Coturnix japonica: one gene and its partner. The protein of the gene in region 2 interacts with the protein of the main gene of each other region in a biochemical or structural test. Links are inferred from orthologs where the notes say so. Each region holds a gene or a part of one and is shown on either strand. Other genes may lie near its edges.

The links.
Region 1: the proteins of PRKD1 (region 2) and YWHAQ form a complex in vitro, tested with the Homo sapiens proteins (2 studies listed by BioGRID). The link is inferred for Coturnix japonica from reciprocal best matches to the Homo sapiens genes PRKD1 and YWHAQ.

The regions. Positions count from the first base shown.
Region 1 is NC_029518.1:87,878,912-87,883,139, forward strand, and holds the start of YWHAQ (14-3-3 protein theta), read right to left. Parts: upstream 2,801-4,228; 5' UTR 2,649-2,800; intron 1,771-2,648; 5' UTR 1,680-1,770; coding exon 1,386-1,679; intron 1-1,385. UniProt on the Homo sapiens protein: Adapter protein implicated in the regulation of a large spectrum of both general and specialized signaling pathways. Binds to a large number of partners, usually by recognition of a phosphoserine or phosphothreonine motif.
Region 2 is NC_029520.1:31,300,278-31,304,303, reverse strand, and holds part of PRKD1 (serine/threonine-protein kinase D1), read right to left. Parts: coding exon 3,933-4,026; intron 3,448-3,932; coding exon 3,286-3,447; intron 1,879-3,285; coding exon 1,780-1,878; intron 1,279-1,779; coding exon 1,011-1,278; intron 1-1,010.

The DNA of each region.
Region 1 (4,228 bases), on a different chromosome or scaffold from region 2:
TTCTTTACTAGGAGAGTGGTTAGGCCCTGGAACAGGCTGCCCAGGGAGGTTGTGGATGCCCCATCCTTGGAGGTGTTCAAGGCCAGGTTGGACGGGGCCCTGGGCAACCTGATCTAGTAAAGGTGTATGTTTGGTGGCCCTGCCAGGCAGGGGGGTTGGACTTGCTTGTTTCTTGAGGTCCCTTCCAACCCGGGTCATTCTGTGATTCTGTGATTTTATAGAAGGCCTCTGACTCACAGTTAGAAACGAATCCAGGAGGCAGCATGTGAGGAAGCACACAGTATTTTCAATACAATCCAAAGCACCCTTGTACATGAGCCAAAACACTTCTCAAGATGCAAAATCCATTACTTCCAAACCAGCCATCTTTAACCTCAGGTCTCCTAACCCGATTCAGGGTTAAATCAAAAACTGTTTATTTCCTTACTCACTTCCTTTCTCATGCTTGCAATACTAGACATCAAAAATACACAGCTTAACCACTGAAGATGACATGCCACACCATCAGCACTGCACTACACACACACAGCTTCCTGCAGTCAGTAGACCCTGATCACACACAACAGGCTTGCACACTTCCCATGTTGCTGACACAGGTCTGTGGAGCTCCTGCTGCACTGCAATGCTGCTTCACCATCAACAGCATCTGGAATTCTGCTCCTCACATGGAAATATATTGCTGGGCTTTGAAACATGCCCAGGTGCACAATACCTGTCATGGAATATCCTGTTTCCAAGCCACAGTTGTGCATTAGTCCAAAATAACTGCAAATTCACTTTTAACAGCCCCCACTAAATCAACTTGAGTGTGACAAAGCAGATTTCTACCTTTTTCTTTCCTACTTTCAAGGAAGATGTCTTCCTTTATGAAATCATACCTTATTACCTAGGAAAGAAAATCTAAAAAATGCCTCTTTAAGGCCTTTAAAGAGTGTTTTTCCTCACATGAAGCAGCACATTAAATGAACGCCATTAATTTAAATGCATTTAACAGGTTACTAGCACCAACCTTCAGAAATAAAGGGCTTTCATTTTCTTTTCAGCTTACCTTGTGAAGATTAGCTTACAAACCAAAGCACAAGCCTAAATTCCCTGCATCTCTGTGCTCAGCTAGCGTAGTACTGCACACAGGTAACTCCATCAGATGTGCATCTCAAACACAGCTTAGCACACCTCGATTACTTCTGCATATACAGCACCCGCAGCAAAGTGCAGATGATTTTCTGTCTCAAAGTAACCAATATGGCAGCTGCAAAAGTTACTGAACTACCCACTCCAGCATAATAGCTCACATAGTGCCCAGCCCATTTCCCACCCTCCTCAAAACAGCAGCATCCCGCTTCTCTCTTTTGATAAAACACGGAAAAAGGAAAGGCCCCACTCACCAGCACCGTGGTGCAGATGGACCTGAGCTCAGACTCCACCTTCTCCCTATAGTCCTTGATAAGCTGCATCTTCTTGTCGCTGGTGTCTGTCTTTTGCTCGATGCTGGAGATAACCCTCCAGGCAGAGCGTCGCCCCCCCACCACATTCTTGTAGGCCACCGAGAGCAGGTTGCGCTCCTCGTTGGACAGCTCAGCCCCCTGTTCCGTCACCGCCTTCATGCAGGTGGCCATGTCGTCATAGCGCTCAGCCTGCTCCGCCAGCTTGGCTTTCTGGATCAACTCGGTCTTATCCATGGTGGCCGGCGGCAGGACGAGGGCAGTGTTGTAGCAAAGGCAGGAGAAGCTGAGGACGTCACTCTGCCAGCAAGAGAACGAGCCTCAGAGCCTGCCAGGAGAAGGACAGCAACCGTGACTCCAGGAGCCAACGCTGTGGATGGTGTCCTTGCAGCCCCCTTACTGGGACTGTAGGGAGCTCCCCATTCCCAAGTACATCCCATGGCGCAGCACTGGCACCGTCCCTCCCTTGGGCAGAAGCAGGCACTGGTACCGGGCCCACCCTGGGGAAGCAACAGCCCAGAAACCCAGCCGGGGATGGGTCACAGTCCCTCGGCCAGAGGACCGAGCACCGGGCAGTCGTACCAACGTACCACAGCGGCTTTTGTCCTTACTGTGCCAACACACTTAAGAGCTGCTCAATGGAGCCGCACAGCAGGACACCCAGCTCCCAGGCAGCCCGAGGGCCTTCCCCACGTGCCTTCACCCCGCAGGGGAGGGCAAAGAAAAAGGAGGAAACAGAAAAAAAAGCTATTTAAAAAGAAAGAAAGGAGAACAGCGCGCTCGGAGCTGAGGCCGCAGCTCAGCGGGGCTGGAGACAACGCCGGGGCCGGGCGGGGCCGGGCGGGCAGCTCGGGCCGCTTCGCCTCCTGGCGGCGGGGCGAGGCGGGACCATCCCCCCGGCGGGAGCGGCCCCGGCCCCGGCACGGAGCCCCTCCATTCCCGGCCGCTGGGTGGGGTCGGGGCCCGGCGGCTCCGCGTTGGCCTCGTCCCCGGGGACCGCGAAGCGGGGGGCGGCGGAGCGGGACGAGCGTGGCCGGGCGCGGAGGACGAAGCCCCGGCGGGTACGAAATGGCGGCGCCGCCCGGCGGCTCGTTCCGCAACCCGGCACCGCCGAGCGCTCCACGCCGCGCTCACAAAATGGAGGACGCGGCGCCGAGGCGGGGCACGGCGGCACGGCCGGCGGGAAGCGGCCCACGCCGCGCTCACCTGAGTCCGCTGCGCTGCGCTGCGCTAGGCCGGGCCGGGCCGCACCCGATCGGCTGCGCCTCGCTCGGGATGTGGCGGAGAGAAAGAGCCGCTCCCGAAGCGGGCGAGAGCCAGCGCTAAAGGGCGTTGGCACGGCCGAGCCTACCCGCCGCTCGGCCCGCGCCCACGCGGCCAATCGCGGCCTCTCCTGCGAGCCAGGCCCCGCCCCTCCGCTCCCCGCCGGCCAATCCGAGGGCAGCGCGCCGCCGCGGGGGCGAGCGCGGGCAGGGCGCGAGCTCGGTTGGCCCGTGGGCTGCGGCTGGGGCCACGGGGTTTCCTCCAATTAGATCCAGGGTGAGATGACGTCACTGTCGCCATGGCGATACTGCTACAACCCCCCCCCCGCCCAACCCCCGCTCCACCACGGTGGGTCGGCACCGACACGGCGCGGGAACGGGCGGGGGCGGCCGGCGGGGGCTGCCCGTGCTGTGGGGGCTGCCCGTGCTGTGGGGGCTGCCCGTGCTGTGGGGGCTGCCCGTGCTGTGGGGGCTGCCCGTGCTTTAGCTCCCTGGCTGTGTCGCCATGGGGCCGTGCGGGGCGGGCTCGGTGCCCCCTCCGTAGGGCGGCTGTGGGAGGACACAGTGCGTGGTGCCGAGGCTGGGCTGCGGGCTGGGCTGCCCGGCGCCCTCCCGGCGCGTTGTCTCCTGTCAGGAATGCTGCCTTTGTGCCGCCGCTCGGTCGGGCGAGAGATTTCAGAGAGAGGGAAGATTTAGGTTGGATGTTAGGGGGAAGTTCTTCACTAGGAGAGTGGTTAGGTCCTGGAACAGGCTGCCCAGGGAGGTTGTGGATGCCCCGTCCTTGGAGGTGTTCAAGACCAGGTTGGACGGGGCCCTGGGCAACCTGATCTAGTAAAGGTGTATGTTTGGTGGCCCTGCCAGGCAGGGGGGTTGGAACTACATGATCCTTGAGGTCCCTTCCAACCCGGGTCATTCTGTGAGCTGTGCCCCAGGAGCCCGGTGACAGGAAATTGCTCGTGAAGAGTTAATGGCGCTGTGCCGTGGGGCCCTGAGCGGGGAGCGACCCGCGCTGACATCAGTAACCATCGATGTCCATTGGTCCTAAAGGCCTCAGGCTCAAACCTCCCTTCAAACAGCACAGTGTCTACGTGAAGCAGTGAAATCCCTCACCTTTGCTTCCAGCATCACCAAATTTAGTCATGTCCTGCTACTCCAGCATCCTGAAGGGATGATGAATGCTCTGAATCACCTCAGGATGTTGTCGTCTCAGCTCGGAGTGCTCCTGTCTGTGTTCAGATAGGGCTGTGATGAGGCATGTGGGCATTAGGTCTGTGCTGTGAACCGACACTGCCGGTCATTTCAATGGAGGGATGCATTTACTCTGTTAAAAAAAAAGGTGCCTATTGGTAATGCTCCTCATGAAGTTAATGAAACTCTTTCAGAAAGAATTACTGTGTTGGTCTTGTTATTTAAATGTAAGGCAAATGTGTATAAAATGGCCATTGATGGATTTACAGTGTGAATTAGAAGATTTGGTATTTTCAGAGCAATGAGAATGGGGAGCAACTTTCCTGCACTGCGAGC
Region 2 (4,026 bases):
GACATCCATTTACTCTTAACAAAGGCTGTGACTGTGTAGAAGGATAGATAACAGGCTGGTAGGTGAGTTTTCTATAGGTGTTCTACTCAATCTTCACCTCTGAATGTAGAAATTGATCTCCTGTCTACCACAGCAGAACTTGTGGAGGCAATTTCTTGCAGCTTCTTCTGTGTTGACTGCTATTTGCTTATCTCTAGCGCCAGAAAAAGCATTGCTGCCAACAGATTCTGTCAGCTTACATATCAGGGGTGTGTGGAGGTTCATGAGGACATCAGTGTGCAATTGTGCAGATTTATGTTTGTTTGGGTTTTTGGTTTTTTTTTTTGTTTTTGTTTTTTTTCTAGTATTTTCAACAGATATTATAAAACTTGTACTGCTGAGATAAAATTCCAGGGAACACACAAAGAATTTTACAGCTGAGAGTGTGTGGCTCAGTGTACACTACAGGCACATATCTCTTAAGTTACCATTAACATGTAAGTAAAACACGTCGGCTAAAACCAAGGAAAAGCGGTCATCTGTAGCTGTACTGTAAAAATGGAAATTCTAAATTATAATCCTTTAATTCAATTTGATATGTATTGCAATTCTGGGGGAATAACAAACAAACAAAGAAACCCAAACCTGATACATATAACACTTACTTTGCTTTAAGACTTACGAAGCAATATTGCAGGAAGTTAAAGATATAAAGATAATAATAAAAATAAAGAAACTATTGAATAAAAACCCATTAAGCTGAAAATGTTTGTTGTGTACTGGAAAACACTGTTGAAACTGAAATTGATGTATTTTTTAAATATTTCAAAAATCTCCTTGGGTCTCTCCAAGACTTCTCCCCACCCTTCTTTATGCTTCCTTCAACACGTAGAGAAATCTCACACTGGAGGGTTATGTCACATGCAGGAAATGTCTAAAGCATCTAATATGACAAAATAGGGACATTATTATATGAAGGCAGAACATACTTTTTTGGCATTTATATACAAACAGCCACAAACAGACATTACCTTCATGAGAGATTTCTTTCCAAGGATTGGGTGGATACATGAAAGCAGCATTTTGAATCTGATCATTTATGTCCTCATCTTCATTGAATGGGAATGTACCACTGAGGCTTACATAAATGATAACACCCACAGACCACATATCCAGAGATCTGTTGTAGCCTTTATTCCTCAGTACTTCCGGAGCAAGGTAGGCTGGTGTTCCTACAACTGAACGCCTGAAGGATTTCTCCCCAATGATTCGAGCAAAGCCAAAATCACAAAGTTTTACCTGTTTAAAGAGAACTGCTATAGTAAATAAGATTTTTATTATTTAATACAGTTTACGTACTTTTATCATGGTTTAGCTGTATAATGCATATCTCCTGTTCCTTCAGGAAACTTTATTTCTTTTAAGCTTCCCTTCTTAGTCCACCAAGGTATTAAACTAGATTACCAATTCATTGCATTCCTTCATGTTATAAATAAACTGTAGTAGAGCGAAAGCAAAAACACAGGGCAGCCTAGAATGAAGGGAATGAAGTTTTGGAAGGGCTAAACAGCTTAGAATCCTTCCAAACAGAAGATTTTCTTTATAGAGGACCTTTTCCTGAATGAATCAAGTTGACAAAAGTTAGTTCTTGAATCATCACTTTTTTGGACATTCAAATCTAATAATTTTATGTAGTCATTTGAATCAATATAGATACATGCTGTTGTTTATTTTATAAAACAATCAGTGTTAACACTTATTAATAAGAAACATTTATTTTAAAGGAAATTTTCTACTTGCCTGTGGGAAAGGATCTGCTGATGCTAATAATACATTTTCTGGTTTGAGGTCACAATGAACTATATTTTTGAAATGAAGATGTCTTAAAGCAACAAGGATCTGTGAAGAAACAAATCAGAATGAAATTAAGTTTTAAATATTGTATATTTGGGGGGCTTATATTATTTTGACAGCAATAGTGACTAGAGAATCTAGGACTGCTGCAGAGAGAAACAACCCATCAAGAATGCATCTTTCTCAACAGTGTCCACAGTGCAAGGAAAAAAAAAAAAAAAGGCCAGCCATGTTTCACTGTTTGAAATATGACTGTTCCCTCTCCAAGGAGGTTATGCTCTTAACAACTTTGAAAAGTGCATTCTGAATACTTCTCTTCATTTGTTTTGTTGTTGTTGAAACTTTTAAAACAGAAACATCTGCAAAGTTGCCTTCCAGATATAAATTATTCACTCAAAAAATTTCATGGAAATATTCTGTGATCCAATTTTAGTATTTTCTTGTGGTGATGAAACAAAGAGCTTTGCATGCATTTTTATGCTGTTATGTGCAATAAAATGCCAAGGAAGTGTAATAGACATTCATCCTATCTCTGTGGTTTTAACTCAATTCCTTCTGTCTGGTCAGAGGCTGCCAGAATTTCCCACTCTATTAGAACAGGCAGTGGGTAGGGGCAGAATGAACCCATTAAGGCAAGAAACCAAATTCTAAAGCTGGTCACCGTTTTGCCTATGAAAGCCTGAAAGGTAGAAAACTTGTTATGTTCAATTTCTAATAATAAACTTCCACTGTAACACAACTGTTCCTGCTCCTTTCTTTTTCTTGCCTTAACAGAAAAACAGGCTGCTGTGAATCTGAGGTGGCTCATTACTCAGTTGTGTATCTAAATTTAAACTTATTGTGGGCAGCCAAGGAAACAACATGATAACATGACAACAAAAACCAAAAAAACCCAAACAGATCACATTGTTAACAGATGTCACATAGGAAGACAGACTCATTTTATCAAAGGTAGTGCTGAGATCCAATCTAAATGCAGAAAAGAGGCACAGAAATTCATAGCATAAACTACAATGATTAAATATGAGGAAATTCAAAAGGCCCACATTTCTTTCTGCAGTTCTTCAGCAGCCTGCTACTTGTGTTTTCAAGTCCTGTCTTGTGCTAAATCCTTCAAGCATAAGAGAACGCATAACTTGATGTCACTCCCTTCCAGCAGCCAGGCAATTGCATGTGTATTCATGGCTAGGTCCTCTTAATGGCTTAGTAGAAATCAGATAATGTACACAAAGATGTATGTACCATCCCTGATATTATTAGAATCATTCTAATAAAATTCATATTATAGAATCATTCTAATAATAATCATATTATAGAATCATTTTATGATTCTATGATTATTATCCAGGCTTTCATGAATGAAGGTGAAAACTTATGTCAAGATCAAAACATATGAAACAGTGATAACAACTGACTTCAAATATCCTTATAGGTCTATGATCAATTACTTACCTGAGTAATTAAAAACTTTGTTATTCTCTCTGGCAATCTGCCCTTTTCACTTGATAAGATCATCTCCAGCATGTCTCCATGGAGTTTTTCCATAACAACGAACACTCTTTCTGGTGTCTCGAACATACACTCCAAATTTACAACTCCAGGATGATGAAGATTCTAGTAAAAGTAAATACAACATTTGAATAACACAGATATCTCTATATGATTAGTAGGTTTAATGATTACATAACTAACCTCCGGGCTCCCCTAAACCAGAAAATATTTCAGTTTTTCTTAATTTAAACTTTATATTTCATCTGTAGGCAATAGTCATGACATTTCTAGGGATGGTATAAGAGAATGCATTAACTTAAAATTAGTCAAAAATACATTATTGTGCCTTGTGCTTTAGATTGCAGAGATTATATAGATCCTAACAGAACATTCCCAGTACTGTTAGTCTTGACTATTTATGCAGATTAGGCTGCAAAAATACTAGAATTTTCAGCAAAAACAGTAGCTATTATCAACTGGAATAATTACATCATCTCGTATTTATTCCTTGTTCATTGCAGGGGAGTTGGACTAGGCAACCTTTAAGAGTCTCTTCCAACTCAAAAGATTCTATGATTTATAGTAATGAAAAAATAACAGCAAAATACCTGTAAAATTGCAACCTCGTTACGAAGTTGACTTTCCTGTTTAGTTGGAAACCTTAGTTTGTCTATTATTTTAATGGCAACATCTCTTCCTGTT